Caenorhabditis elegans: one gene and its partner. The protein of the gene in region 2 interacts with the protein of the main gene of each other region in a pairwise test. Each region holds a gene or a part of one and is shown on either strand. Other genes may lie near its edges.

Region 1 (15,901 bases), on a different chromosome or scaffold from region 2:
CGTGAATATCTCACAAAAATTTACGATTTACCGGTTCGTGATGTGAGAACAGAAGTTCAAATGGGCGATATTACATGGAATTCAAAACTAGATCATCAATACAAAAAAGCAATGTGGAAGGATGAGGATAAAAAGATTGCATACGTGTTCATGTCAAAAGGTTTCGAATTCTCATATCCACAAATGTTCGAGGCATTGGAAGAAGATTTGGAATTAGTGAAAGCAATGAAACAACAAGAAGAATTGAAGGATAAACTCAATGAGCGATATGCCAATAGGAACAGACGTGTTGGACAATTCCTTGGCGCTTAATTTGAAATCTTCTGTATATTTGTGTTTTTGATTCATTTTTTAGGATCTTTGTTTTGTTCGTTTCTGCTAGATCAATAAAATTTTAAAATCTTAAATTTATTTTCTTTTTTTAAAAATGTTATTGCCGTAATGCAACGATTGCTGAATTATTTTAATCATTTATTTCATTCTGAAAAGAAACACAATTTTACTTTCTAAACGTACTCAACTATTCTAATCGAAAAGTTAGAAAGTATAAATTAAAGCGATCTACAATGTTTTTTCATGACGTTCACGGGCGGTAATTTTTCGTGAGATACTTTGTACTTTGCCCCCTTCACCTCTATCGTTTTCTGTAGCCACTGTGTTGTCTACTATCTTGTAGTCCATTTTTCTCGCATTCTTTTTATCTCTATGACTCCATTTCTTTCGTTATCCCTATTTTCTCTGATTGCTCTGAACCTCGTTCTGTTGAAATACACGTCTTCTCCACGGCGTTTTTATCAATGAGTTCACAGGTTTCTTTGATTTAATGTACTTTTACCCATTTTTAGTGCTTGGGCATTTTTTCAATTAAAATGACAATTGTGTCATTTTCCCCGTTTACTTCTAATTTTTCTTTAGCTATTTTATTCTACTATTGTCTTTCTTTATTTAAAAAAAACTAGAAACTAGAAAGCACAAAAAATTCATATCACAATCTACTTCCGTAGAGCCAGAAGTATATTTCTTCAATTTTAAAGTTTTGTTTCATTTCGATTCTAACTCCTAATTGTGAATAGGGTGACATTTTTGCAGCATTCGGAGTATGCACTATCGTAATTTCACAAGATTTGGTATGCTTTTTTGATTGAAGGAACACAGGATTTGTTCAGATGGGCGCGCAAAAAGTTTCTGATAATAGCCCTTTTTAATTTTAGCGACTGTTTCTTCGTTTAGCTTTCTTGTTTTTTTCAATGAAAACCACAAAGTTCGCTAAAACAAAAAAGAAAAAGGCAAGGAAAATAAACGAGGAAGCAACCGCAAAAAAGACTACGTTAAACTTTCTGCGCGCCGAGACCCATTTGAATAGATCCGTGCGTCTTTAAGAAGGCATTTCAAAGTCTTGTAAAATTACGATAGTAAGAAGGTACGTGTTTTTCGTCAACATTATCTTATTTTTATTGTCACTATCATCACCATTAGGTGTTCTAATATCAATACTTATGTTTGTCAACTGGGCCATCTTCCAGCCCGCCCATCTCATTTTCTCTTATCTCTCAAGTCGATTTTTTTTGTTTACCCGTCTCTGTCACATCACCGCTGTTCGTTTTTTGTTGTTCTTTTTTTCTTATTCACAACAGCTTTTGAAAACATAGAATTTGAATTAATTTTAAAAAAAAGTTCACGCAACGCCACGTCCTGATTGTATTCTCGAAATTATTCAATTCTGTTCTTTTTCAGGTTTCACCGGGAAGCACGTCAGTGGGCGCTTCTTCGATTCCATCAAAAGGTAACACAAAGCGGTATGTTTTCGATTATTTTGATTATTTGGATAATGTATTTCTAATGTAGACAGATTTTTCTGTCACGAATGATAATAACGCAAAAAAGCAATTTTGAACCCACACTCGGCAATAAAAGTCTTATTTTATAGGAAATGTTGTCGCGTCTTGTCCATCAGTCGTCGTCGACACTTCGCACAAACCTTTCATTTCGTCTCTTCTCACAGTCGGCACCGGCCATGCAAACTACGCATCGAGTTGAGAAACAAGGAGATGTTGCCGTGGTGAAGATTGACTTGCCAAACACAAAAGAAAATGTTCTCAACAAGGCTCTTTTCGCTGAAATGAAGGCCACTTTGGATAAGGTAAGATACAGTTTCGAGTAACTGAAATGACACTATTTGTTTGTTAAAAGAAACATTATTTTAGCTCCAATCCGATGAAAGTATCAAATCCATTGTTGTCATGTCCGGAAAGCCAAACAGCTTCGTTGCAGGAGCTGACATCCAAATGATCAAGGCAGAAGGAACTGCTACAGCAACTGAGACACTTTCCCGTGAAGGACAAGAACAATTCTTCCGCATTGAAAAGAGTCAGAAGCCAGTCGTTGCGGCTATTATGGGAAGCTGTATGGGAGGAGGACTCGAATTGGCACTTGCATGTCACTACCGTATTGCTGTAAATGACAAGAAGACACTTTTGTCCCTTCCAGAAGTTATGCTTGGATTGTTGCCAGGAGCTGGAGGTACCCAAAGACTTCCAAAGTTGACTACTGTTCAAAATGTTCTTGATTTGACATTGACTGGAAAGAAGATCAAGGCTGATAAAGCTAAAAAGATTGGAATTGTCGATCGTGTTATTCAGCCACTTGGAGATGGACTTGGACCAGCAGCCGAGAATACCCATAAATATTTGGAAGAAATTGCAGTAAAAGCTGCTCAGGAACTTGCTAATGGAAAACTCAAGATCAACAGAGACAAGGGATTCATGCATAAGGCTACGCAAGCAGTTATGACCAACTCGTTGTTCCTTGACAATGTGGTTCTCAAGATGGCAAAAGATAAGCTGATGAAGTTAACCGCTGGAAATTATCCAGCTCCACTGAAGATTCTCGACGTTGTTCGTACCGCCTATGTTGACCCAAAGAAGGGATTCGAGGCCGAAGCAAAGGTAAATTATTTTGATTATATTTCAAGAATATGTTTTTTTTTTAGGCTTTTGGTGAGCTTTCTCAAACTTTCCAATCTAAAGCTCTCATTGGTCTTTTCGATGGATCTACTGATGCAAAGAAGAACAAATACGGCAAAGGACTTCCAGTCAATGAAATCGCAGTCGTCGGTGCTGGACTGATGGGTGCCGGAATTGCAAATGTGACCATCGATAAGGGTATCCGAACAGTTCTTCTTGATGCCAACCCGGCCGGAGTCGAGCGAGGACAGAATCAAATTGCAACACATTTGAATAAACAAGTCAAGAGAAGAAAGATCAACAAATTGGAAAAAGAGCGAATCTACAACCATCTTGTTCCAACAATTGATTATTCGGCCATGAAGAATGCTGATGTTGTTATTGAAGCCGTCTTCGAAGATCTTCAACTCAAACACAAGGTTATTAAACAAATCGAGAGCGTCGTTGGACCAAACACAATTATTGCATCAAACACTTCAGCTCTTCCGATCAAGGATATTGCTGCAGCATCTTCCCGCCCTGATAAGGTTAGTTATCATTTTTAAAATATTAATATATTTCATACTTCCTCAGGTTATTGGAATGCATTATTTCTCACCAGTGGAGAAGATGCAATTGCTTGAAATTATCACTCATGATGGAACATCCAAAGAAACACTTGCCACTGCTGCCCAGCTTGGTCTTAAACAAGGAAAACTCGTTGTCGTTGTCAAAGATTGTCCAGGATTCTTCGTTGTCCGTTGTCTTGGACCAATGACAGCTGAAATTATGCGTCTTCTCCAAGAAGGTGTTGATCCAGCTGAACTTGACAAGCTCACAACCAAATTCGGATTCCCAGTCGGAGCCGCGACATTGGCTGATGAAGTTGGACTCGATGTCGCCGAGCATGTCGCTCAATTCCTTGGAAAAGCTTTGGGACCACGACTTGGTGGAGGATCCGCTGATTTGTTGTCCGAATTGGTGAAGGCTGGTCACAAGGGACGTAAAACTGGAAAGGGTATCTTTGTATATGGAGACGGAAAGAAGGGAAGCAAGAAGGTTAACGATGAAGCCACCAAGTTGCTTCAAAAGTACAAGTTGACACCAAACGCATCTGTGTAAGTTTCAATCCATTTGCAAAAGTTTCTACCGTTGATGTTTATGATTATCTAACTCTACAAAGAGGCTTTGATAATATTAGAATATTTACATTTCACTTTTATGATTTATAGCTCATCACCAGAAGACCGTCAAATCCGTCTTGTCTCTCGTTTCGTCAATGAGGCGCTTCTATGTCTTGAAGAAGGTGTTCTTGCTTCACCATCTGATGGAGATATCGCCTCTGTCTTCGGTGTTGGATTCCCACCATTCTGGGGTGGTCCATTCCGTTTCGTTGATCTCTATGGAGCTGATAAGTTGGTGAAATCAATGGAAAAGTTTGCTGGAGCTTACGAAGCAGTTCAATTTGAGCCATGTCAACTTCTCAAGGATCATGCCAAGAGCGGAAAGAAGTTTTACAACTAATCATCTCTTCTTGATCTTCGCGATTGCTGTTTTTTCGCCAATTTTCCCCTAAGTATAAACAGTGTGTATTTGTATTCTATGTGCCTATAAGATGACTCTTTTTTTGTTACCATAGATTGTAGTTTCAGACCGCACATTTTGTGTCCCCTATTTATTTATTCGTTGTAAAAATATTGGTAGAGCATTTTACGAGTCTTTTTTCACCGCCGCTCCATTTTCTTTGTTCTTTTTTGAATGAACAACATTCAATTTTTACCGGATTTGCAAAATTTAATATATTGAAAAATACAAACAACTTTATTCAGAAAATATCCTAGTAATAATTAAAGTTTGCATTGCAACGATTTCGAACTTTTCGTAGACACTGGGAGGGTTACTGTACTTTCTCTTTTCCATTCTGGAATTCTCTTTACGTCACCAAGATGCTTCTTGAAGAATTCAACGTTCTTTTTCCAGGTCGTTTCTTGTGATTTTGAATGTTGATAACATTCTCCACCGAATCCCCATAACATATTTATTTGAGCATTGTAGATGATTCCGTGGTGGGGGAAATATGGAAAATAAAGGAAATGACCACCGGGAACAAGTTCAGACTGAGAAAATGTATTGGTTTCAAAAAAAGTTGAACGCCTCACCTCAACATGATGTCCGGTCTTTCTAAGGTTTCCACAAATATTAATAATCGATGGAACTGCATCCACAAGCATGTCATCGTAGCATTGCTAAAAAATAAATAAACTTTTTTCTACAGTTCTGGAAATTAAGATGTTGAAAATTAAATAAAACAATCTAACTCGAAAAACTGTAGAAGATGTTTTAAAAATGTTCAGTTCACTAAAAATCTGCAATAACCTCCAAATCAATAGCGAGTTGTTTTTACAAAACAGTTTTAGCAATAAAAATCTAGAATGAATGTCTTGCTATTTTTTTTGTTCGTAAGAACTAATCCTATGATTCTCAATTTACCAAAACTGATAACAAAACTTTTATTATTTTGAACAACTTTTTTATTTATATTCAAAAAGTTGCCCATATCCTATCGTAATTTTGAAATTCGACAAAAATAACGTGTTTTCTACAAATTTCAAATTGTATTTATGTTTCAATGTGTAGCATTTAAGAGTACTACATGTCACAATATCTTCAAAAAACTCTCATGGTTGATAAATTTGGCAATTTACCAAAATTCTGAATAAAAGACGTCCAAGTATTTTATCATGACAATATGCCATTTTGGGTTATTTTAAGTGTATTTATACTACATACATCCCCATTGACGTTGAAGTAAAAATGTTTTTTTAAACGATTTTTTGTGAAAACAACTTGCTCTAGAGTTACAGCCGATTTCAGAAAATCAGCACGTTTGACGCTTGCAGCTGTAGATTTTTTAACAAGAAAATTAGTGAATAACTATTTTTAAAATTAATAAACCCCCAACATGAACAATATTTTGTTAGTTGAACGTTTTTGAAAATGCCTTACTGTTCGTTTTTTTTTCAAATTATGATTATATCATTATATTTGATTCACAAAAACAAATTTATCGCGTTCACTCTATATCGTTCAAAGTACAAGTACAAAAGTAAAGTGAATGATGTTCTATGGAACATTTGTAATTCGTGATCCCGAAAATTTTCGTAAATTAGTTAATTTCTACATTTTTTGATTAAATAACATTTTAGGTTAAACATAGAAATTACCACAATTCTATAAGCTGTGTTCTTGGGTGCTCTTGCCCATGGAATACTTGTTGTCGGTGTCAAATTGCTATACAAATCTCTGAATGCTGGTTTTTGGCGTAAAACTTGATTCACAAAATCCGACATTCCTTCATCTAAAATTTGTGTTTCCATTGGTTTTCCATTTTCTTTCATAACTGCATTATCTCTACAAAATGCTGCTGAACAATTCAATGCAACAACTGCAGACACTTGATGATATTTTGTAGACAAATAATTTGCAGTTAGACCTCCAAATGATTGTCCTACCAAACCAATTTTTCCGGAGCAATATGGTGAATTTTGTACATATTCAATAGGTTTCTGCAATAAGCTTTTTGAATTTTTTTGGTCGGCGGATCGTTTTTATTTATCAAACAGATTGCTCCGTGAAGTTCGTAATATTGCTTGGTGCTAGTTAATTTTGATAATTTGAGTGATTATCTGTGATAAAATATACGAAGCATTCACACTGCTATAGAAAAACTGGAAAGTAACAGGAAACACGAGCCATGGACTTGCAAAAGGCCCTGTTTCTTCGACATTGCTAAATTCAGGAAGCTACTGTTCTGGCATCACAGTACCTCAAAAAACTCAATGTCAACGTCCGGGATCAATTTTGGCAAATCCTTTTTATATGCAAAATATGCAAAAGTGAATGTAAGAAACCCTTCGGAAGCCAATACAGCAGCATATCCACTTTCTAACATTCCATTTGATCCAGGAATAAATATAACAGCAGGGAATGGTCCTTTACCAGGTGGTTTGAATAGTGTACCATATAATCCATTTTGTTCTACATTTATTTGTTCAACCAATGGATGTTTCCAGTGTTTTTTCAGATGAATTTCATCTATGATTTTTTTAGAATCATCCAATAACCTGAGAAAAATGTGTTTGATTTTTCAGATATATACAGATATTCTCACTGTAATGTGTAATAATACGTTTTTGGGTCATAAGTTTTGAAAAAATGACCTGGACGGATACTTTGAGTTGGTTCAATTGATATAAATAATCCCATTTGGTCAACTTCTGGAAATATTAAAACAATGAACAATTGGACTTTCAGTTACGAAGGAAGTAGAAATACCTGTATAAGTTCCTCGAATTGGTGCATCACGAGATAAATCAATACATCCCAAGGAATCAGATCGAGCGACACAAAACGATGCATAGGTTCCACGGTCATAATGTAGTCTAAATGGGCAAAATTTTTGGCATAAAAATGAATTCTCGGGCACCTGTAGGCGCTCAGTAAGGCATGTTTATGCCTACAGCTTTATCAACATGATATCTACAGAATACACTTAAAACATCATGATCTTCAAAAACTCAAAGATACAAATGAAGAATAACAAAAAAATTGAGATCTCACCTCAAAATGAATGTATAACAACTCCATTCAACGAGCCCACTTGCACGAATATTAACCTTTTCAGTCTGGAGACTGTCCACTTTATCAACATGAAGCATTTCTTGAAAACCTGAAAATGTAAATAAGCACTTGATTTTCAAAGCAGTTTTTGGAGGTTTCTTTTTATCAATTCGAATTCTGCGATAAGAAATGTTGCATTTTGTTTGGTTTTCCATCTAGTTGATCAGAAAGAGGGAGGAGCTTTTTTTTTAGATAATCAAGTGACTACAAACCGATCAAGTGATTGTTACAATAGACTCTTAAAGTGCATTTCCCGAAAAAAAAATTGAAATTTGTCTAAAACCTGTTATTAAACTTTTTAGATGAATACTGATAGAAGGCAACAAATGCTTGAATAGCTTTAGTAAAGTAGAATATTACAAAGATCTTGCTAATTAAAAAAAATTATATACAAAGATTTGACTCATTATCAATTGTCTGATAGTCAGATTTGCATGCCACATTTTGAAATCATATTCTTTTTATTTCTTAAGAAAGAAAAAAAAATTTAAGAACAACATGCAAGTATTTGTGTGTTGAAAACTAGGGTAAATCAAATGGAAGTGTTGGTAATATTGGCAAATGTCTGAATAACTTCTGTATTTAGGAATTACAACAAATATTGGTGGGATTTCGTTTGTATTTTTGGTTTCAATAGATCAATGAAGCTACTTAAGTGAACGATTTAAAATAATTAAATTTCAGCCGAGTGTCATCGTCAGTCTAGAGTACATTTTATGGATTTTAATTTTCACTTTAAGGATAAAGAGGTGCCACAGTTGACAATAAAACGGATTTAATCTGGATATCAATTCATGTTCGGACGCTGCGACCGCCAAATAAATATATTACGTTTTTAATACTTCAATTCAGTCTTTCCTTTGTCTCTTTTTAAATCCTAGTTTGAAGAGCCCCATACATATAAACTTAACTTCCATTAGCTATTTCATGGTTCTATAAATCTAGGGTACCAGTTTTTGTGACCTTATATTTTGGTACCTTCTCAATCTGCCGTTTCAGGGAGAGGGAGACAATAAGCAGACGATCTCATAGAGCCTTTCTGGATATCGATCCAAATCCAGACGCTGTAATGAACTACCTAACATTCACTCTCATTCATGTTGTTCTCAATTCATTCTTCTCATTTTATCCAGGTCCCATTCGGTACGTTTATTTTTTTGTTCTTATTTTGATTGTTTTAATTTTCTGAGATATCCCAGTTGCAGTCCTAGTAAGTAATTGTGTATTTGTATTAATTCCTTTAAAAAATCTTCAACCGAAGACGAAAAGAGAATAGAGCCCTCTATTTCAGAATACTGACATTTCTAGTGTAAATAAAATAGTGTAAAAAAGTATTACTTTGGTTTTTCATGTACCGGATTTTTCCTGATCGTATTGCACGTATATCTGATTTTAAATAGCTTATATGGCCTTCGAGACTGCTAGATTTTCAATTAAAAACTGGAATAGCATATTTATAGCCAAAATTAATTTTTGAAACTTGAAAGTGATAAAATTTTTTTACATCTTTGAATGTTAACATTTTTTTCTTTCTTAAGGTTTGAGTGGGATGAAAGATTGATAAAACCTGCGAGATTTGTATCGATGGTACTGAATTAACAATAGTGGGAGCTAGATTAATTGGAATTGGAAATTTAGTTTCTTTCAACGTTTACAAAATGCCCATTTTAGTATAGCCATAGATTTGGAGTCAACTACATTCTGAATGACTTCTCTCGATCCAATCAATATATTATGTTCTTCGACAGAAGATCACCATACAATGCAACGCTTTTCCAAAATTGTGAATATCGATCCATATTTGGACGCTGTAAATTCTCACCATCGTTCTCTCTCACTGTTTTTTCGATCCAATTACTCATTCTCACCTAACATTCTCAAAAGGTGCATCTTTCCTTTTTTCATTTATTTATTTGCTCTAGTATTTTCTACTGCAGTTTCACTAAACGTTTCTTTTCAATTAAATATTTTTCAGAACTGAAACTATGTTTGCTGAAAATCCATTCTTCACTCCCACCGAGTCCAAGTTGAAATCGGAGATCGCACTTCTTCAAATGAAATTGGATGACGAACGATTTGATCATCAGAAAACGTAAGTTGTTTGAACTCTAGGACAACGTGCAACCTGTTATATAGATTATATTGTACTAACCCATTCTTAATATGTTCAATTTCAGACGACGAGAGCTTGCCAATTCTCGACTTGAGATCTCTGATCTGAAAGGGGAAGCGAAGTGCCATGATTCGGAACTCAATCGTCTCTACACAATAATCAATAATTTGGAAAAGAAGGTTGAAGATTTGAATGGAGAACATCAAAAGTCATTGGAAAAATTGAAAGAACGTCTTCATGAAAAGGATGCTTTTATCGAGGCTTGTGAAGAATTCTATGATGAGAAGAAGATCAATGTGAACAAAATGACATTGATGAAACAAGAAATGGAATTGAAGAGAATCAAAAAGAACTTTGAAGAATACAAGGAAAGAATGACTGAAGTTGAGAAAAATTTGAACGAATTTATCAAAAGACAATCGGCCATTTGTATGGGAGTGAGATATGAATTGAATATGGAAAAGGATTCGAGAGAGAGATATTTCAAAGAAGCTCAACAATTGAAACAAGAGAAAGATGTATTGGTACATGAAATCAATGAAAGAGAAGTCAGAATTTTGTGTCTGAGAAGTGATATTCTTACATTGAAATCTGAAAACAACGACACCTCTAAGGAACTTGATGAAATGAAAAATGGAACCAAAGCTTTGAAACATGAACTTGAAGAGACCAAGAAAATGAAATCCGAAGCCTTGTCGAAATATGAAGAATCTCAAAAAGAGTTCGAACAGTTCAACTTGAAGTTCCAAAGATTGTGCACAAAGTTCTACGAGGAACGTGTCTCTTCTCAGACAACTTCACCTAAAATGAAAGAACATCTGGCATCTGCTAAGAAACGATTGTCTGCTATCAAGGAAACACTCCAAAATGAAGAAGATTTTGATGAAACCGGAGAAGTAACCAATTATCAATAATTTAATATCACCCAATTACTTTTTCCGTGTTAATTTTTCTTCTTTTAGCTACTATCGCTTTTTTAGCATTTTTTCGATTTGATACTATTGCTTTTACTTTACCATTTCCATTGCACTTTTTCGTTTGTTGTAATACGAAACAATACGGCTTAATTTTTCAACGCCTCGGCATTCTTTCAATCCATCTTAAAATGTTACTCTCTTAATTATTCAATAAATGTTTCATTAAATATCGGAATCACTTTTTAACGTGGATTTTTATAACCAAACAGGTGTACGAAAAGTTTACTATCAATTTTAAATAACAGGCAGAATCAGAGAACTTCACATCGAAACACAACATGAAAAGTAAAACACACGACTAGCGATAAAAACTGTTGGAAAAATCAATCAAATTCAAGAGGAATTTGAAAAGTACGTGCTGAAGGTGGTAGATTAGTGAAAGCTATTACAATATTTCCAACAATTGTGGTTTCATCTTCCATGTTCTTTTTTGAGTGAAATCGAGATGAGTTTTTTGAGAGAGTACTCTAGAATCTGTAAAAGTCGATGATGTAGCGAAAAAGTGCAAATATCATTTTTGCATGAAAAACTAAAACTGATTAGATAAGAAATGACAACAATGGTTAATGATGTTGACCTATGCTCTGCTTGTATACCGTGATTAGTGTCTTTGAAATCAATTCCATAAAATAAAATACGTGAGTGTGAGTTCAAATATACCATTAGAAGACAGTTCAGACCTAGAAAATGTTTTGCAACCAGTTTTGTATATTCTCGAATTAACAATTTTTATGCAAAATGATTTATTTGTAGGAAAACAAAGGGAAGCTAAGCTGAAACCTTGTCAACACGCTTGCGGAAGACCTTGCGATGTTTACGAACTACAACGGAACGAGATGGGCATGGACAATGAGCAGCATCTCCTCCTGGAGATCCAGAGTTTCCTGGCGCTCCTGGAGTTCCTTGTGCACCGGCTTGCCCTGGCTGTCCTGGTGCTCCTGAGGCTCCTGATCCACCAGATTGTACTGGTTGTCCTGGTCCTCCGGCTGGTCCTTGTGGTCTTGGTGCTCCTGGTTGTCCAGAAACTTCAACATGTCCTTGCTCTCCTTGTGCTCCAGGCTGACCTGGTGGTCCTGGTGGTCCAGCTGGGCATCCTTGAGATTGGGATTCACAGTTACATTGTGCTTGACGCGTGTTGGCTCTACGTTTAATTCTTCCAAAGACATCGATTGGTTTCACCATTGAGTTCCATGCCTGTTGTTCGTTGAACTGAAACATTAAAAATATGCAAATGTTTTTCGAAGCTTTGGTTAAAAAAAATATACTTTGAACTCAGTCATAGTATCCATAACCTCATCGTAGAAGGAATTGATATCATTGAAACTATATCCAACAGCGAAAAGACATGCAATAACTGCAACTCCACTGCCTATGCTGACAATTCTAACCAAAAGTGATAAGTGGGGAGATTTTTACACGGCCTTCAAAATTAAAAATATTAGTAAAGGTTTGTAGTAAATAGTTTGGAAAATGTTCCGGGTTCATTATACATAGTTTGCAGAATGTTTTAGCAGGAATAACAACTCTACATCTTGAACTGAAATTTTTCACTAGATAGACAACTGTACTTTTAAATAAAATATCATGCGATGTTAGCAAAGAACTGGTAATCAGGGAAGCAATTCTGAACAAACTAGACTGAAAAAATTGGAAGATTATGAACTTGTACAGAAAGATTTCACAATCTGACAAAAAAGTAGAATTTTAAATTAATTATTTAATTTCTAGAAGACCCAGTTCTCACTTTTGGAACAATTTGACACGTTCTGACGTCGTTCTTCTCATACATATATCTCCCCCCACATGTTTTAAATAATTCATTCGTAGAAGGTATAAGGGTAGTATGTAAGCATCATCTATTCTTTCTGCTTTCCGGCTCTTTCCCTCATAAAATGTGAGCATACCTACCACTAATCTTCGTCCTTTTTTCAATGTTCACTACTTTTATGGTTCTTCTCTTTGTTTGGAAGTGAAAGAGCTGCGAGCATCTTGTTAGATGTACCCGTAAATTGAATTACACTCTCTCTCTTCTTTTCCATTGCAGCAAAATACTGCGAACAAAGGACTTTTGATTCTAGTTTAGTTGGAAAGAAGGAACTTCTAAAGAAACATTGAGAATTCATCCGATTCAATGGTTTTTTCAGTCACATCTCAATAGCCAGTGGCTCTTCACAAATTCTCATCCAAAGTCCCATTTATTTTGACTAATTTAAAAACCCGAAAAACTCAAAGAGCATTTCCCACCAACTGACTCAATGGGCTCCCACTCGTTTTTGTTTTTCTTCCATTTCTTTTTCAACACCACATCTTCACTCATTCTGTTCATTTTCTCTATTTTTTAAACCTTCTTCTGGACACACACTCAGCACTGATACACACCTGTTATTACATGTCGGATGACTCTCTGATTTCCAATCAATTTATCTTTTTGTCTGGGGAGCAGAAGTGAGATACGAAGAGCTCACTCATCATTACGATTTTCCATTGCATTCGTAAAGTTGAAAATGTTTAAATTTGTTAACCTATGTACCGTAATCTTTCAAAAATGGATGATGTTTTTTTTTAAATCTATGTCATTCGTAAATTTTGAGATCCGGATGTCCTAAAAATGTCTGACATAGATTTGAGAAAGCATAGATTTATTCTAATTTTCAACGTGAAAGTTTTGTCTCTAAATTTTGAGATTCTTAAAAGCTGCACAAAGCTTTGAAAATGATGAAATTTGAAAAGCTTTGAAACGTTGAAAATGAAAATAAATCTATGCTTTCTTAAATCTATGTCAGACATTTTCAGAACATCCGGATCTCGAAATAAACATGATATTCGTGTTTAACGTGTTCTCAGCATTATAAAAATATTTTTTCGACCAAAAAAACACAAGTTCGTTTTTTTGCCCATTTTTCGGAAGGCAAAGGTCCAATTTCGTTTTTCAGAGCGGAAGACGATTTTGGAGATAAGCCAAAATTTTTAAAAATCCTTTCGGAATCTCATAGAGGACTGAAAAGTATGACTATTTATCAAAATTTGAAGAAAAAAAAATGTTAAAAATTAATGATTTTTCAGACAAAAATTGAAAATTACAGAAAATTGCATGTGACTTTTCTGAGACTACTGATTTTAATACGTATTTAATGGATGAAATATGTTAAAAAATTCATAAAATCATTTGAACTTTTTCTGATTTTTTTTGTTGTATTCAAATTACGTAGATCAATATTAATAGTGACTTTAAAAAATTCTGCATGATAGTAGGAATTGAAGATGACATTTTGGAGTTTCCTTAATTTTTTTAACGATGCACCCAACATGTTATAATCTAAATAATATATATTTTAATTTAAAACAATGCAAAGTTAAATTAAAGTCTATAGCTGAAAATGTCTATTCAATAGAATATAGTGAATGGAAAATATAAAGCGGACATAAAAATCTATTTGCTGAAAACATGCATTTTTTTTCAAATTGTTATTTTCAATAAGCATGTCTAAAATTAAACCCCAAATTCTCTAAATTGTTTCAATTTTAGATGTAATCTTTGAAGATGAAACAACAATTTGTTTCACAAACTAGACAATTTCATCTTTGAAAACTATCTCAAATTTCGTAAAATCTAAGAAACAAATGATCATGAGACATGACACCATTCAAGATCTTTTCCTATCTCACTTTGGCTCTCACATGAGCTCGTGTGAAAGAGAGAAAGTTCTTTTTTATATTGTCATTTTTTTTCAGTTTCCTATTCATCATAATCATCATCTTCATAAACTGACTTTTGTTATTCTAACTCAACCAGGTATTTATTTGAAAAAAGAAAAACAATACTGTCAGGAATGAAGTTTGAAGCTGAAGATTATAATATTATTTTCCGTATTCAAATAATTTTTTTTGGAACATATTTTTCATATAGAATCAAATTTATAATTATCTAATCTGGAAACATTCAGTTTTCTTTCATCAAATCGCCATTTTCTTACTTTATGTGTTGAACACTGTTTAAAAGTGTAAACTTTAAAATACCCAAAAATTCAGTTTCTAATTCATAATTCTAATTCAGAAACACCACAGAGGTAAAATGTGAAAAATCAAAAAACAATGAAAAATCCCAGTTTCTTTTGTTGCAAATCACCATGTTTGAATTTCCTCCAAAATGAAAACGGCAAGACAAATCGTTGTTGATTGATTCAAGAGTAGGTGACGCTTTAGGAGAAACGCTGTAGAATGTTGGATTTATAAATCTTGCTCGATTTTTTTTGTTCCTTTTGCGGTAATCCTGAATTTCAACTCGGCGCGCTCCGTTTTTTTGGAGTGGGTTTTTCCACGATCTCTGTTATGGCTGTCATGGGAAGTTTTACTACAAGTTCATTCCCAGGTCAAATTTGTCACAATAGCAGACACCAATGGTTTCGAAAAACAAAATATCTCGTTAAATTGATTGGAACTTTAAAAATTTGTCCCCAAACTACAAAATTCTATTTCCATGCCCATTATTTCCCCATGTGCCTGCTTCGTACACCTGTGAATAGATATCTAATGATTCTTCTTTCACCTCAGCTCAAAACAATGCAATTAATTTTTAGTAACTACCATGAAATCGAACAAAAGTTCTATTCGCCAACAATATTTTCACATCAGAAGACAACACAAATATTTTGCAATTTCTTTTTTTTTCATATTTTTTGCCTTTCTTACACAGGTTAAAATTTTCATTGACTTTTTCTCACTCTTTTAAAATATTCATAAGTTCTTCCCCTTCTCACCTTCTGTTCTTTTCGTCTCTTATATCTGTGTAGTACCTAACAGTTGCTCTTCTTTTTTTTGCTGAAAGAAAGAGCAAAAAAGAAAAAGAAAAGTTGGACTAAGGCCAAGTGAAGTAGAAAGAAAAAAGATGAGAGGAGTTCAGTTTTGTTGCATTTTCCGCCCACCTTATGGCTTCCAATGGTCAAAACTCAGTGAAAGATATCAAAAATTTTCTGAATGTCATGGGCAAAAACTTTTTTCAAACTATCGTAATCATTCAATAACAACGTTGTCAGTTGATCTTACTTCTAGATTTTTAAAATGTTAATTTGCAGAATCTTGAAAAATCTCAAAAAAAAGAAAGCTAAGGTAGGCTTTTACAATTTAAATTTTCTTCCAAATTGAAAGAAAAATTAATTATAAATCATTTATGTTGCTCAGCCAGATCTCCT
Region 2 (15,901 bases):
CTTTAAAAATTGCGTAATCATAAGCGTCCTAGGCATTTGACACAATGCACAAAGTTGAAACTACGGTAGGTTAAGGTACGTAGAAGTTATATGATGGCCGTGGGTACAAGGTGCTCGAGAAGTGATCCCTGTACGCAATTTGTGTGCCGTATAACTGTAGTCACTGCAACCTGGTTCGGTAGAGTGCATTTGCACTACCCATTGCCTTCGTAAGGTTCCGTTTTACAGGGGCATGTAATGCTAATCACATTTTTATTAAAAAATATGATTTCGCTGCGGGACCCGGCCCCTCACAAAATATTGCTTCATAATATCTATAAAGGTTAACAGGTAGGAAGGAAAAGTAATACCATTTCATTCCGACAAAACCTTAAATGTCGAGCGGATCCTACAACTACAGTACCAGATCTCTTGAAAATCTACCGTATTCCGTAATATTCACAAATGATACGGCTGCCTCTAAAGGGTCTACCGTAGAAAACTTGAGGTTCCTAGGAGTACCTTTATAATTTTAATTGGCTAGTCCCGTGAACCTAGATTATCAGAAAAAATACTGTTACACAATGGATATAAAGCAAACGCGTGAGAATCAAAAATATTGTTTGGTCCAATTTAATTCCGAATTTCCTGTTTTAGTATTGCATGCAAGACTAAAAGAGATCACGATTAATAGACGAAATACGGTATATGCTTACGTATCCAGTACCGTGATTCGAGTACCTCTACAGTAACCAATAAGTCAAGCGGATCCTGTAAAGACTACAACACGAGATCTCTTAAAAATCTACGGTACTCCTTAAAGGGTCTAACCTAGAAAACCTGGGTATCTAGGAGTACATTTATAGTAACTCTAGTCCTTTAGTCCTATGGTGCACACGAACAAAAAAGTACTGTTTCACAATGGTTATAAAGCAGAAGCTTAAGAATCAAACATATTAACGCTTTTAAAAGATTTGCATATGAACTTTTATATATGTTATCGTATCCAGTACCGTTATACGATGCACACTAAAGCCTTCCTTGTAGGAGAGGTATTGTTGAACTTAGAGCTAGACAATCGGGGGCTCGGATCGATATTGATCTTTGAGTACTGGTGGGGTGCTTCCTTACCTCCCATCTGCGAAAACTGTTGGAGTGACCATAACGACTGTGGTGGCTGTTGCTGCTGCTGTGATTGTTGTTGAGGTGGTGGTCCCCCTCCGAGTGGTTGCTGATTCGACGAGAAGAGACTATTCATTTCGTAAGACATCCCGTTTCAAGCTGTCTTCAGTCCGTTCGTCGTCGCGTCGATTCACACACCACAGACAACACAACACGTCGATCGATCGTTCGGGATGGATGACGTGATGGATCCTCGGTGCCTCGAGAATACTGGAATACTGATTTGATTAGATTAGAGTAGTTGGTTAAGGATCGGAGATGACTTAGAAGGAAAAAGTAAAAGAACAGAATTTGGGCAGCAACATACGCACTCAAAAATATATGTATGAAAACTAAACTGAATAGAAATATAAGAAGAATAAAACGAAAAATAGGGGAGAAGACGGAGAAAAAGTATGTGAAAAGAAACAACATGGGGGTTGTGTGTAGTGAGAGAGAGGGAGAGTGCATCGTGTGAGAGAGACAGCTAGAGAAAAACAGAGAAAGACGGGAAGATGTGCGCTGTGTCCCGAAAGGAGAAAGAGAGAGAGAGTGCCCGCCGCTCAACACTCACGCTCACGGACGCTCGCTCGCGCAAAAACGCTCATCGGAGAGTAGTGATCTCTCTGTCTCGGCGTCTACGACTCTTCTAACCACTCTGTATATGTGTGCGCGAGCGTGCCCGAGGGACACCAGGTCTGCGTCTCCGCACTCTCTCGCACTCACCCTCATTTTCGTTCGGGTGAGCCAGCAACGCAACACACAACCCACTCAGCCCACCCCGGCCCGGTCTATCTATCTATTGGGGGACTGAGAGAGAGAGAAAGGGATGGAGAGAGAGAGAGAGAGGAAATCAATAAGCACACAGGAAAGGGTACTGCAGCAGAAGAATAGTCTATAAAAATATATGAATATGCATGTGAAGAAGAAGAAGAAGCGTCATCAAAGGATTATCCTCGCTTCACAAGCTTTAAATTGGTCCTGGGTCCCTCCACGCAGCCAAGTGCGCTCTACTGCACTACTACAGTATACCTGTCAAGTAACCAAAAAACATGTTGATAAGATGTAGTCTACTATTTTTTTTTCAAGTGATAAGGAGTACTAGAGTTGCGAAATGTTGTTAGGGACTTTTTTTGGGGCTCGGAAAATGACGAATGTGTAATAAGATACAGTAATGCGAGATTGAGGTCTCGCGACGAGCGAATTTTTTCCAGCTACCGTACCCAAGAGTACGGTAGAATATTTGTAGGGTTTCCCAATACGTTTGATATTTTCACATGAAAGTTAATAGTTTTTTGTTTTTTTTTACCTAAAGAAGAAAAAAACCAAAAATTAACAAAAAATATATTCCTACAGTACTCATGAGTACTGTAGCTCAGAAAATTTTGCTCATGTCGCACTGCTTATTAAATTAATCCAGTTGTAATTTTCGAGAAACATTTTTTATAAATTCAGTGAAACGGAAAAAAAATCGTATTTCCATTGGGACTGGATTTAACGGGTCTCGCACCGACTTTTTGTGATTTTTGTTGCAAATTTTTGTGCTACTGCTAATTTAATCAATTCTATTGTAGCTAAACTTTTTGGGAGCACGGAAAATGACGAATGTGTAATAAAATATAGACTACAGTAATCCGGGGTTAAAGGCGCTATTACTCAGATGTACAAGTTTGCAAGTTTTAAAGTAAAAACACGGTAGTAGGTCTCGAAACGACTTAAACTTTGCAGCTACAGTACCCACAAATATTATTTCGCAATTTTCCACGTTTATTTAAAAAGGAATTTGGCCTTTTTCAAGATTTTCAATAAAGTCATATGTAGTTTTTGTATTTAAAATTTTCAAAAATTTTACCGAAGCCGCGTTGCAAGCGGAAGCGCTGAAAATTTGCAGATTGGGGTCTCGCAACGAGCGAAATTTTTTCAGCTATCGTACCCAAGAGTACGGTAGAATATTTGTAGTGTTTCCCAATACGTTTCCTCTTTTCACACCAAATTAAATATTTTTTTGTTTTTTTACCCCAAGAAATAACTGAAAATCAAAAACTACAGAAAGAAACCAAAAATAAAAATAAATTTCTACAGTACTCATGGGTACTGTAGCTGAGAATTTTTTTTTCAAAAGTATCATGCCAGTTCTCGTTTTATTGTTGTAATTTTCGAGAAACATTTTTTGTAAATCCAGTGAAACGGAAAAAAATTGATTTTAATTGGGACTGCCGGGCGGGTTTTATCGAGTGTCGCAACGACTTTTTGTGGTTTTTGTTTCAAATTTTTGTACTACTGCTAATTTAATCAATTATATTGCTGCTAAATTTTTTTGGGAACACGGAAAATGAATATGTAATAAAAAACAGTAATCCCCGTTTAAAGGCGCTTAACGAATTATTCAGATGCGCAAGTTGGCGATTTTTGAAGAAAAAGCACGGTACTGGGTCTCGAAACGATTGAAACTTTGCAGCTACAGTACCCAATATTAATATTTTGCAATTTTTCATTATTTTTGAAATATAATAATACCGAAGACGAGTTGCAAATGGAAGCTTATTATTTTTCTGTAAAAAGCAGCGCTGAAAAATTGCAGATTGAGGTCTCGCAACGAGCGCTTTTTTTTTCAGCTACCGTACCCAAGAGTACGGTAGAAAATTTGCAGGGTTTCTCAATACGCTTGCTCTTAGATCTTATCACACGAAAGTATATAACGTTTTTATGTTTTTTTTTACTTTTAGAAATTACTGAACATAAAGAAATAAAAATAATTTTTTACAGTACTCATGGGTACTGTAGCTTAGAAAATTTTTTTCGTGCCAGAACCTGAATCCGATCTGTTCTAGAAACACTCTTGCATCTTATCAATCCAGTAAATAGTAATTTTCGAGAAACATATTTTATAAATCCAGTGAAACGGAAAAATTGATTTTAATTGGGACTGCCGGGTGGGTTTTATCGGGTCTCGCAGTGACAATTTAGTGATTTTTTGTTGAAAATTTAATAAACTTCGATAGTTGGGTGTCGGCACGATGGATTTAAGAACTCAAAAAAACCTGAATTTTCGCACAAAATTCGTCTCATTTCCCCAGAACTCTTGGAAAACCACAGGAAAAACTATATGTTCTACCAGCCGTGGACCGCACCTACGACGGGCCCCCGACTTTTTGAGAAAACACATTAGATATACGGTGTCTATCGCGGACCTCGATCGATGTCTGCTGCGCACTTAACATAAGGTTTCCCAAAATTTCGTTGCTCTGATCAAAGATCAAACTACATAGGGACAGAAGGACACGCGCTTTATATATAGTAAATGATAAATAAATAAATATTATTTAAATAAATAAATAAATATTAATTAAATAAATAAAAAAATATTAATTAATTAATTAAATAAATAAATATCAATTTAAAAATAGTCTATGTAGTCTTTGTAGTCTGTGACGTCACACCCAAAGTCACTGAGAATTGTGGGCGGGGTCTGTCATCCTTCGTGGTGAGACCCATCGTGGTGAGACCCATCGTGGCGAGACCCATCGTGGTGAGACCCGTCGTGGCGAGACCCATCGTGGTGAGACCCATCGTGGTGAGACCCATCGTGGCGAGACCCATCGTGGTGAGACCCATCGTTGCGATACCCACCGTAGTGAGACCCATCGTGGCGATACCCGTCGTGGCGAGACCCATCGTGGTGAGACCCATCGTGGTGAGACTCGTCGTGGTGATACTCATCGTTGCGAGACCCACCGTGGTGAGACCCGTCGTGATGAGACCCATCGTGGTAAGACCCATCGTGGTGAGACCCGTCGTGGTGAGACCCATCGTGGTGAGACCCATCGTGGCGAGACCCATCGTGGTGAGACCCGTCGTGGCGAGACCCATCGTGGTGAGACCCATCGTGGCGAGACCCATCGTGGTGAGACCCATCGTCGCGAGACCGATGTCTGCTGCGCACTTAACATAAGGTTTCCCAAAATTTCGTTGCTCTGATCAAAGATCAAACTACATAGGGACAGAAGGACACGCGCTTTATATATAGTAAATGATTTTTCCATTCCCCACGATGCCCATTTTGTATTTCGTATATTTTCCTTCGGCAGGACTTCAAAAATCCCGCAAAATTATGTACAAAAAGTCACAATAAAAAAGTAAATAAATGTTCGAGAAAAGTGTTCATTGAAAGTGAGAGAAGTGAATCGCATTAGAGATCATTATCGACAGAAAAAGTATTTTCGCCCGCTTTTCTCCTTTTTTTTTCGTGTGTGTGTCGTGGTGGTGGCCGTCTGTCTACTTTCGGACATCATCCTCTTGTTGTTTTTCGGTGACTGAAGCTGCATCGTCATCTTCTCCTGGATTCGACATGACTTCCGCATCGTCGTCGTCGTCTTCTGAAACAAAAAAAAATAGGTGAACGATCAAAGAATGGGAATTCAAAGACGGAAAAGTGATAGATGACTGCCGTGGGAAGACTGAAATTACAACAAAAAATGAAGCAGAGTTCAAAGAATCAAACAGTGAGGCGATTTTACTGAATTTTTACAAAATTCACAGATCGATCGTTTGATTTCAACAGTAATTTCACGGCTTCAGCTCAACTTTCCGCAATGAATGCACACGAACCTGCACAAAAACGCTGAAAATTGGAGAGTATAATCATGAATGCTTGGAGATGATTTCTTCGATCCATAAGCTTCGCCTCAAGCACCTTCTGACGTTCGTGTTGTCGTTCCAAGTCATCTTTGACTTCTCCCAGTTTTCGTGTAGTTTCTGCTCGAGACGGTACTTCTTCTAGTACATTAACAAGTTTTCGGTATTCTTGACGGTTTCTAAATGATAAAATATTGTAAATTGGTTAACATTTTTCGGAAAATCGATTACCTTTTTACAATTTTCGCATCGGCCAACTCATTCTTTGCCACCTCCATCTTTTTGTACATTTCTTCGATCTGGAATAGAAATTAAATTTTTATAATTATCCTGTCTTATATTTAACGGCAATTTAACAAAATGACCTCTCGTTTTAACATTTTTCATTAAAAATTGGTGTCAAAATATAGAAAATTACTAGATTTATATGGAAATAACATCCATTTTGAAAAACAAAGCTCGCTAACTCTGTAATCGACAATTTTCAGGTCATTTACATTTCTGAGCACTTTCTCAAATATTTCAATTACAATGAACCTGATTTTCAGATAAATCAAGTGATTTTCTATCTTTTTGCACTAATTTTTAATGGAAAGATGGTGCAATATGTCTTTTTTTTCTCCATTGCCGTGTTTTCCTCTCCGTACCGATTGATCGATTTCCTCTGCAAACTGATCGCATTCAGTTGCATGAATCTTGTTCATATGGGATATTCTTTTCTGCTTCAACATCGACAACTCCAAAAACTCGAGCTGAAAACATACATTTTCACTGAACAAGATCTCCCCGGATCCTTACAGCTTTGGTAACCTTCACTGCTTCGGGAACAGAAGTCTTCGCATCCTCCTTTCTACTTTCACGGAAAAACGTGGCAATTTGCTGAACTTTACGATCATCGCCAACTCCTTCGCCGTCGGCCACAAGCTTTCGGAGCAAAGTGTCCTCTTTCATCTAAAGTCAGACATACAACTTGTTCACGCAACATGAGCCGAATGTTAATTCAAATATTCTGCACGGCGCATACTTCTACCAATTTTTTAATAAGTAAACAAAAACAGATGATATTAAAGGTAACAAAGTTTATCCGAATTAACAACAATTTAGGCCTTGGACTCGACGGACTTGTTGATCTGACGTTTGTTGTTCTTTCTGGAGAAACGGAGGTTCTTGATGAACTTGGCGTCGACTCCCTTCATGGAGAGGAAGATGTGCTTCTTTGGCTTCGTGATTCCATTACGGTGAGCCTTCTTGTCTGAAAATTAAATTATAAATATTCAATACTGTTTTTTTCTAGTTTTTATTTTAATGATTCATCCAAAAAAAAAATCGCTCAAATTCTTTAAGAATGCTTTTAAAAAGAGATTTCTCTACAGAAACTACTTTTATATCTGAATTTAAATACTCACTCTGGTTGTGATTGGTGTGGTTCTTGGACTTGGCCATGACGACAACGGTTAACCCTGAAAATGACGAGTTGTGATAGAAAAATGTGAATCAGTCAAAAAATCGATAACCAAACGACGAAAACGTGAATTTTTGGGACCATAAAAGAGAGATCTTACAAAATACATAAATTTTACTAATAATTCTCAAATTCAAAAAATTTAATCGCGAAAAAGAATCAAAAAAGGTTAAAAACTGTAGGATTTGGAAGAAAAATGAAAGAAAACGGAAAAGAACGCGGCTGGCGGATACGGTCACACTCGTTCAGCTGTGTGCAGTCGTGGCGAGACCCGCTACGGAGAGAGTGTGTGAAAAGAGGAGACGCCGACTAGTTTCGTGTCGATTTACGAGCTGAGGAATTTTTCATTTTATTTTCAGACTTTTCGAGCAATTTTCGGCTGAAACTAGGCGAATACTTTGAAAATTGTTTGTTAAATTGTTAAAAAGTGATTGTCTGTTAGTAGATTAAATGGTTTTTCTTTAAAATTTCGTCATTTAGCTTGTAGAATGATGTTTCTCACTTGTTTTCAAATAAATTTATTTTTAAAACTCTAATTTCACCGATTTTGCTCAGATTAAAAGTAAATCAGACAGTATACAATTTAATTTACTTTTGAGGCCAGAATTGATAAAAAGCCGCTACGGTTACCATCTTTCGTTGTATTTTCGTGCATGTCTCGACAAATTGCAGAATTATTTCGAATGTATTTTATTTATGTCAAAATTAAAAAGAATTGAGTTTATCGTCGGTTCATTCAATAAGAAGTATTCGGTGAGCAGCAAACGCAGAGTGGTTGTTTCTCAAGGACCATGTTGAACCCGATGATGGAGGCCTGAAAATAAATTTTTAAAAATATATTTTTTTCTACAGCTGTGAACGATCACCTCCTTGATGTTAGTTCCCTGGATTCTGGCGGCCATTTTGCAGCATTTATCACAGGAATCGTTCTTGTACGTGTCTTGGCAATAGTTCACCGTTGGACGGTAATCTGGAAAGAAAAAATCAACGGAATGGCAATTCATTGGAAAAAAATGAAGCAAAAAATACAAAAAACTAACGCTTTCCGCCCTGTCCGAAGAGTCCATAGTTGGCCTGGATTGTGCACACATAATCTGAAAAAAAAGTCTTGATTTTCCCTCATGATGCCCAGCATTTAGAAAAAACTAGGTGCTCGTGCAAAAGGTTAATAGCCACGTGTAGTGTGCCACATGAAACATGACGCTTTGGTCCGTCATGTGGTGCACGCGGGGGGAGCAAGCAGACGGGAAGTGCACAGAAAAACTCGGTTTTTTCACTTTAAAATCGTGATCTTTTGAGCTAAGGGATTCGAAATGCACCACGTGGAAGCTGTGATTCATGTTTATTTTTGTGAAAAGAAAGTTTTTGTTATGTTTTAAGTATTGGTGTTTCCGATTTACAATTTGAAAATATTATTTTTCCTATAAAGATCTGTTTTTCCGGTAAAAACCAGGTTTCCCTTTGAAAAAAGAGGTAAAAACGTATTAGTGAACGATTTTTTATCCAAATTTTTTGGTTTGAGCCTTTTTCCGTTTTTTTAAAATTCAATTTTGCAAAATTTTCCGATTTTTGAGCGAAAAATTAGGTTCCCGGTCTTGAAACGACAACTTTTTGTGAAATACAAATGTATGTGCGCCTTGAAAGTGTACTGTAATTTCAAAGTTTCATTGCAATTGGATTTTCATCGATTTTTCACATTTTTTTCAAAAATTTATGTTTTCAGTGTTACATTTGAGTTTTTTAATAAATAAATACATTTTTATCGATATAAAATCACAAAAAATTTCGCGGAAAACTAGTTTTAAAGCTAAAGTTTGAAACTACAGTAATCTTTAAAGGCGCACACTTATTTGTTTTTAACCAAAATACGTCGTTTCGAGACCAAAAATAGTTTTTTTTCCCAACACAAAAATTAATAATAATTTCCCAAAACGACTCACTATCATTAAGTGCTGCTGGTGGATAATATTGAGCCGGTGGCGCGTAGGCTGGTGGAGCCTGCTGAGCTCCGTACTGTGCGTGGACAACAGCCAAAGCTGCGATAGAAATAAGAATGAGAGAATTCATTGGGGGGGGGGGGGGGGGGGGGGGGCGAAATACAGAAAAAATGAGAAATTTCCAGAACTCCACGATGCTTTTATATCCTCATTTTGATCTGAAACTCTTTGCCTCTTTTCCGCCCACGCGGCTCAAAAATTCCAGAGCATTGAGAAAATTGAAAATTCCTCTTGTTCTGACACCGATGTCGGTGTTTGTCAAAGACGATAAGATCTGGCTGAAAATGTAATGAAAACAATAATATGTGTAGTGGAAGTGAGGAAGTTTTTCTTTTTTTTTCGTTTCTGTTTCATTGTAGACATATAAAAATGTAGAAATATCAATTCTTATTCACAATTTTTTTTTGAAATTTCGTCAATTCATAATCTGATTTTGTAAAAGAAATTCAAATTTTATGATTAAAACAAAAATATTCTTTGAAAATTGGTTTTGTTGCTGTATTTCAAATTTCTACTGTTTCACTTAGTTTATATAAAAGTTGTTCCAAAAAATTTGAGCATTAATAACGACACTTTAGCAAAAAAGAGCACTGACTACAGTTTTTTCCCCAAATAGAAAATAAAATCCCGAGGGCTCCAAACTAACAGAGACATCAATATTTGCAGAGTATAAGTGGTCTTTCAAAAATAATTTTCACCCACTAGATTTTGAAGATTTCTCGGAGACAAATATTTTCATTGTTCCAAATGGTTTATGTAACAATTGTGGAAATTTTATAATCTGATAAGTATTCACAAGGGAAGCTTTTTAGTTTACCGTCAGACTTCAAAACGAGACATGTGTCATTTGAAAGTGTTCCATAAGGATATGTCACTGCAAAATTTTAAGCGGTAAAGGTTCACTCTCAACCCCTCTAGCATTGGTCTGAAACCGTTTCAGTGCATTTTTTCACTACTTTGGAGGCCTGTAGAATTGCTCCAAAATTTTTTTTTGCAAACTTTCAATGTTTTTCAGAACGTTTAAAAGTGGGAAAACAATCTGGGAGATTTTTGGAAACTTTTTTTTTTTTTTTTGAAAAAAATCTAAAAATTTCTAAGAATTTTCAGAACATTACCTCATAACAATTACCATTGGAATTTTATTGGAAAGTGTTTCAAAAAATATCATTTAAAAACGTGATTTTTTTGATTTCGGCTAACAGAAACACCCTGTTTGAATTCCCTCTATGAACTGCAAAACCAATCAGCAATTCGCTCTGCCGATTTTTCAACCAATTAGAAGGAGTGGGCGGAGTTCGAAAACGCTGATTGGTTCAAATATGGGCGTGGCTTCTAATTTTGGATGGAATTCAAAAATAGGATTCTCAAAGTTGGAGTTTTCACTGTTCCCCTCGCATTTTTCATATTCTTGTTTTTTTTTCCTAATTTTTTGGTGGTCGACAGCAAAATATGTATTTGCGTTCAAAAAAGAAGTTCCTGATTACGTATTCCGAAAAAAATTTCATGACATTCTAAATCTTCTTACAATCTTCTAACATAAGATTTCCACTGTTTTACTATGTTAATATCATCCAAATATGTTTTTCAGTTTAATGGGACACACTTTTGGTTTTAAAATTTTATAAATTTCAAATTTCTCAACGTCATTTCCTTCCAATTCTCTCCACGTGTCCCAACTTCTGTCCAGTTGCTGCAGAAAAAATCATATGTAAAAATATAACACCTAACGTTTTTACTGTTTCAAATTTAAAATTTAGAATAAACTGCATAGCATCCCCAATGTGACTTGGAAACGAAAATTGTTTCAAAAACGTGATATTTCGATTTTGGAAAAAAATCCTATTTGAATTCCCGCTGAGAACTGCAAAACCAATCAGCAATTCGCTCTGCCGATTTTTCAACCAATCAGAAGAAGTAGGCGGAGATCGAAAACGCTGTTTGGTTTGAAAATGGGTGTGGCTCCTTTTTTTATAAGGAGTTCAAAAATAGTGCTTTAAAAGCTAATTTTTCATTCTTCCTCGAATGTTTTTCTATGTACCCTGTGGTATTTCTAAAACTCAGACTCTTCTAGATGTTTTAGAGCTAATTCAATGAATTAATTTTTTACTGTTTCAGTATGTTTATATAATCAAAATATGCTTTTTAGTTTACTCCTTCTTAGATTTAACATCATTTCCTTCCAATTCTCTCCGCGTGTCCCATCTTCTGTCCCACGTCTGCAAAAAGAAAGCAATATAACAATCCTGCACAGACACATTTTGTTGTTTCTTCTCCACCTCCTGTTCCAACGTCATTGCATGTTTGTGTGCAACTCTGCGCCTCTCCGCTGAAGGATTTCTATTGCTCAAGACGAGGGGACTCTTTTTTCATTTTTTCGCGCCGTCTGAGCCTCTCCCACTTTTTGCTCCATTTTTTGTTAGTGTGACTCAAAAAGAAGTGGCCAACTGGCAATTCGTTTGCTCTCTTACTTAACTGCCCCCTGCTACGATTAACCACTTGTTACTTTTGAAACTACACAGGGTTTAGGGGGGATTAGGATTTTTTTGCCGGATTTTTCAATTATTTTTTTAATGGGGTTTTAGTAGTTTTTTAGACGAAATAGTCTTAAATAAATAAAACATTTTTATTTTTAAAATAATTTTAAAATAAATTTTTCTCACTGTTTCAAAAATATTATTTTTGTAAATAGCTATATTTAATTTTGATGGAAAGTTATGTTTACCCAATTTTTTAAAAGTCACTCGAAGCTATGTAGACCAAAAAAAATAACTCAAAATTTATTTTCCTGTTTCGCAAAATTAATAAATCTCTAATCACAGATACATATCAGTAATTTCTTTTTTTTATCTCCTAAAAAAGCTTTTAAAAAATTACTGCTAAGATTTAGTTAGTTTTCAACCAAAAATCAATGAATATAAAAATTTAATCTGTTTCACGGTGTTGATGAATGTTGGAATTTACAAAAATATTCACTTATACGGATATCTTTATAGTAGAAACTTGGTTATCTAGTTGAAAGTAAAGTACCGTGAATTTAGAACTTTTCTTCGAAATATTCACCAAAAATTGCTTCAAATTCAGAAATATGTACTTCAAAATAATAATGAAAAAATACAGAAAAAAAGGAAACTCCACATTTAAAAAACATTTAAATAATGTTTTTTTTTTCAATTTTCAAACTAGCCTCTTTTTTTTGAATTCCCTCCAAAATAAGAATTCACTCCCATTTTCGAACCAATCAGCGTTTTTGGTTCCCGCCCACACCGTCTGATTGGTTGAAAAACGGGCGGAACAAAAAGCTGATTGGTCGGTCTGTTCTCAATCTGGAGGGAATTTAAAAAGGGAGATTAACTTCTTAGAGGAATCGTTAATTTTCTTGTTTTTTTCTTTAAAAATACATTTCTGCGATTTCCGCGATTTTACGACTCCGAGGAGATTTTTTTTTTCGATTAAATGCCCAAATTACTTGGACCTTTGGTCAAATGAGATTTAATTTTTATTTACAAAAAAAACACATTTTCACGTGGACCATTTTATACTTTGACATTTTCTTCATTATTCTGGCCATTTGCGAAAAATTCCAATAAAAACCTTCATTTCTCGATTCCAGTTCAATTCCAATGCAAGCAGCTTTGATAGGACTCAACTTTCCATTGCAAAGACGCTTTTTGTCAGGTAATTTATTCTGCCAAGCAGCCTCTAATAAATGCCGAGTGTGGCGACTCCGCCCCTTTTTCGCGTTTTTTCGCGTTTTTTCGCGTTTTTTTTGGCTTGCGAAAAAATGTCACACTTCGTTTTCATTCACAACTCCTGAACCGTGTGACTTCATGCTCTAATATTTGAAATCCTACTAGAAATATTTTGCCCCACAGTGGAGCAAAAAACGGCACTAAGTTCGGAGCAAAATTGAGCCCAGGGCGGCTTTCCCCAGTTTGAAAAAATTTTTTGTTGCTCTTTTTACCCCCAAAAAAGCATGTTTTAATTGAATTAAAATTCGGGTTTTGCTCTGTTTTGTTTCAAACTCATGTGCAAGATACTACTCAGAGAGACTGATTTTTTGAAAAAAAGTTTGAGTTCATAAGTGCAAATGGAAAAAAGTTGTGATAAAACAAAAGGCCAAAAAAAGACATTTTGCCAAAAAAAATTTTTTTTCCGAAAAAGTAGTTTTTCGTCATTATCTCAAGTTCTACTTCATCTTTTTTGATATTTTTTTGTTTACTCTACGTACAAAAGTACGCTGAACACGATTTTTAACTCAGAATTGGAAAAAGTTCTATGAGTCGGCCGAGCAAGACGAATAAGTGCCAAATTTTGCACACTTCTCCATTTTCGTGAATCTACTTTTTCAATCATAACTCGGTCAGTTTTCAATTTTTCTTAGTTTTCCAAAAATTGACGTGTAGGTCTCATCAAGACGCATCGAGACATATAAAATTTGTAAAAAGTTCAGTGGGAAAATTTTTCAAGAAAAAAATTATTCAAAAATTTAGTACTGGGGGGAGTGGTTTCCTGGGTCTCCTGAGCATTTTTTCCACTAAAGTTTTGCGGAATGTATTTTTGATTCATAGTTTTTGATTTTATTTAATGAAAGATGAAGTTTCGTTGCATTAGAAATACTCTGCCAAGAGATATTATTTTTATTAATTTTCAGGCCAAAACTTGTTTTTTTCTATACATCTGTCTGTGTACAAGATATAGCCCTCAACTGTACGTCTCCTTTTTGGGAAATCAATAATGAGTACAATCCTGTAATAAAATTTTCAAAAATTCGTTTTCCCGCTGACATATCATTAATGAACGGTTTTCGAACGCCTTTTCTCAAAATGTAATTATTGAAGAAAGCGGAATCGAAAGACGACTCCCTCCAGAAATTCACCTTCCTTACATATTATATAGTAATACTCGATTTTATACAAAATATGGGTACGTCTCCCCCCATATAAATCCTCCTCAAACTTCAATCAATCAAAACTCAGCTTTAACTGATTCATCGGGTGCGTCTGTTTTTGGTCAAACCGAACTCAAAAATCAAGAAGACATTGACCCACTGAAAATTTCACGAACCCTCTAACAGGTTCGAGGCGAAGCCGAGAACCTACGCCCGGCAGGGGGACTCGCCTTACACCCCCTACAACTGGCGGGCCCGCAGGACCCGCTAGTCTTAAAAGAAGAATTGTAAAAACCCAGTTACGAGAAATTTTTTAAAGAAGTTTAATTACAATATGAAACAGACATTTTTCAGTTTTTTTTTTGAATAATTATTTTTTTTTGAAGAAATTAATCACGAAAAAAAGGTCCTAGAAATTTAATATTTATGTGAAACAGAACATTTTAAATTTTGAATTTCAGGTGTCCTAACCACAACAAGTTCCGCCAAAAGATGTTATTCCGGTGATACGGGGAAACCATACGATTGTACATCTGCTGAACACAAGAAAGAACTGGAAGAATGTTATAATCGATTGGATTTATCTTTTGAAAATACAAAAGAGGCATTTAAGGTGAGGAAAAATGCGGAATTTAAAAAAAAAAAATTTGCCAAAACATGGAAAATAGTGGCTAAACTTCGCCTACAAACTTTTTCACGATTACTTGAAACAGCAACTTTTTAAAAATAATTTGTTTTACTGTTCCAGCAAAAAATTTGTCATTTCGAAATTATATGTATGAAGCATTTACAAAAAAATCACGATCAGTGCTTTAACTTTTTTTTGAAAATTAATTATCAAAAATGTTAATTTCAAGATTCGAAAAAAGTAAAATCTAACATTTTTCTATTTTTTTCTAATTTTTTGGACGACCTTTTTCTGGCAGACTTAAGTATTTTAGCAGTAAATATTTTTGATAGAAAACAATTCTACTGTTTCAATAAAACTTTTTATTAATTGTCTACATGAAAATTCCAGTAGCTTTGGTTTTAACTATAATAATAGAATTCTTTCAGAGCAAATCAAACACCGAGCTCGTGCGTGCTCTTGTCGTTCTTCGATTATGCGGAATTCAAACTCTTGTCAATCAAAATCAAATAATTCTTAATACAATGCGTCGTGTTTTGGGAAAGAATCTGTTCAAGAAAACACTGAAAAATACATTTTTCGGACATTTTGTGGCTGGTGAAACTGAAGAAGAAGTACGTCATGTTGTGGAGAAACTTCGAAATTATGGAGTCAAATCGATTTTGGATTATTCAGTTGAAGCAGATATTACGAGTCAAGAAGCAACTGATAAGACGGTCAAAGGAACGTCTGTAGCGACGGTTAAGCCAGCGGTAAGCAGCCGACATTTCGCGGGCACAGATTTAATTTAGAAATATTTGTTTAAAATTTTGGAGTTGATATTAAACAAAAATATATAAATTCAAAATTAAAATTGAGATTTTAAGTTAATACTGTTTCAATCAAGTATGAAAATGAAAATACTTCCCATGTTCACTGCTACTGTGATGGAAAAACGGTAAATCTGACTGTGATCTCGTAAACAAGCACAGTTTGGCATATTTTAAGTTTTAAAAAAAAATATTTGTTTGTTTTTTGGAGTTTTTCAGCAATTTTTAGTTTTATTTGGAACACGTTTTGAGCTAAAATCAATAAGTTAATTAGTTCTCATTTTCTGGATTTAATGCATTTGACACATTTAAACATTCTATACAAATTTCAGTTAACTTTTT

The links.
Region 1: the proteins of thoc-7 (region 2) and vet-1 interact in a two-hybrid assay, tested with the Caenorhabditis elegans proteins (one large-scale study listed by BioGRID).

The regions. Positions count from the first base shown.
Region 1 is NC_003279.8:6,195,773-6,211,673, reverse strand, and holds vet-1 (Very Early Transcript), read left to right. Parts: upstream 1-9,597; 5' UTR 9,598-9,607; coding exon 9,608-9,714; intron 9,715-9,799; coding exon 9,800-10,649; 3' UTR 10,650-10,876; downstream 10,877-15,901. Other genes in the region: mrpl-23 (Large ribosomal subunit protein uL23m), read left to right, coding at 1-312; ech-1.2 (Trifunctional enzyme subunit alpha, mitochondrial), read left to right, coding at 567-592, 1,735-1,783, 1,928-2,140, 2,205-2,945, 2,990-3,490, 3,537-4,060, 4,175-4,466; T05E7.1 (BAAT_C domain-containing protein), read right to left, coding at 4,790-5,059, 5,102-5,188, 6,167-6,508, 6,769-7,066, 7,114-7,219, 7,278-7,384, 7,563-7,660; col-55 (Collagen triple helix repeat protein), read right to left, coding at 11,481-11,921, 11,978-12,001.
Region 2 is NC_003282.8:13,873,559-13,889,459, reverse strand, and holds thoc-7 (THO complex subunit 7 homolog), read right to left. Parts: upstream 6,727-15,901; coding exon 6,574-6,726; intron 6,528-6,573; coding exon 6,423-6,527; intron 6,075-6,422; coding exon 6,007-6,074; intron 5,955-6,006; coding exon 5,749-5,954; intron 5,517-5,748; coding exon 5,416-5,516; 3' UTR 5,283-5,415; downstream 1-5,282. Other genes in the region: lin-66 (GATA-type domain-containing protein), read right to left, coding at 1,111-1,249; rpl-29 (60S ribosomal protein L29), read right to left, coding at 6,876-7,027, 7,182-7,218; B0513.4 (Transposase), read right to left, coding at 7,974-8,051, 8,104-8,207, 8,278-8,331, 9,178-9,304; prdh-1 (Proline dehydrogenase 1, mitochondrial), read left to right, coding at 12,855-12,909, 14,584-14,735, 15,179-15,502.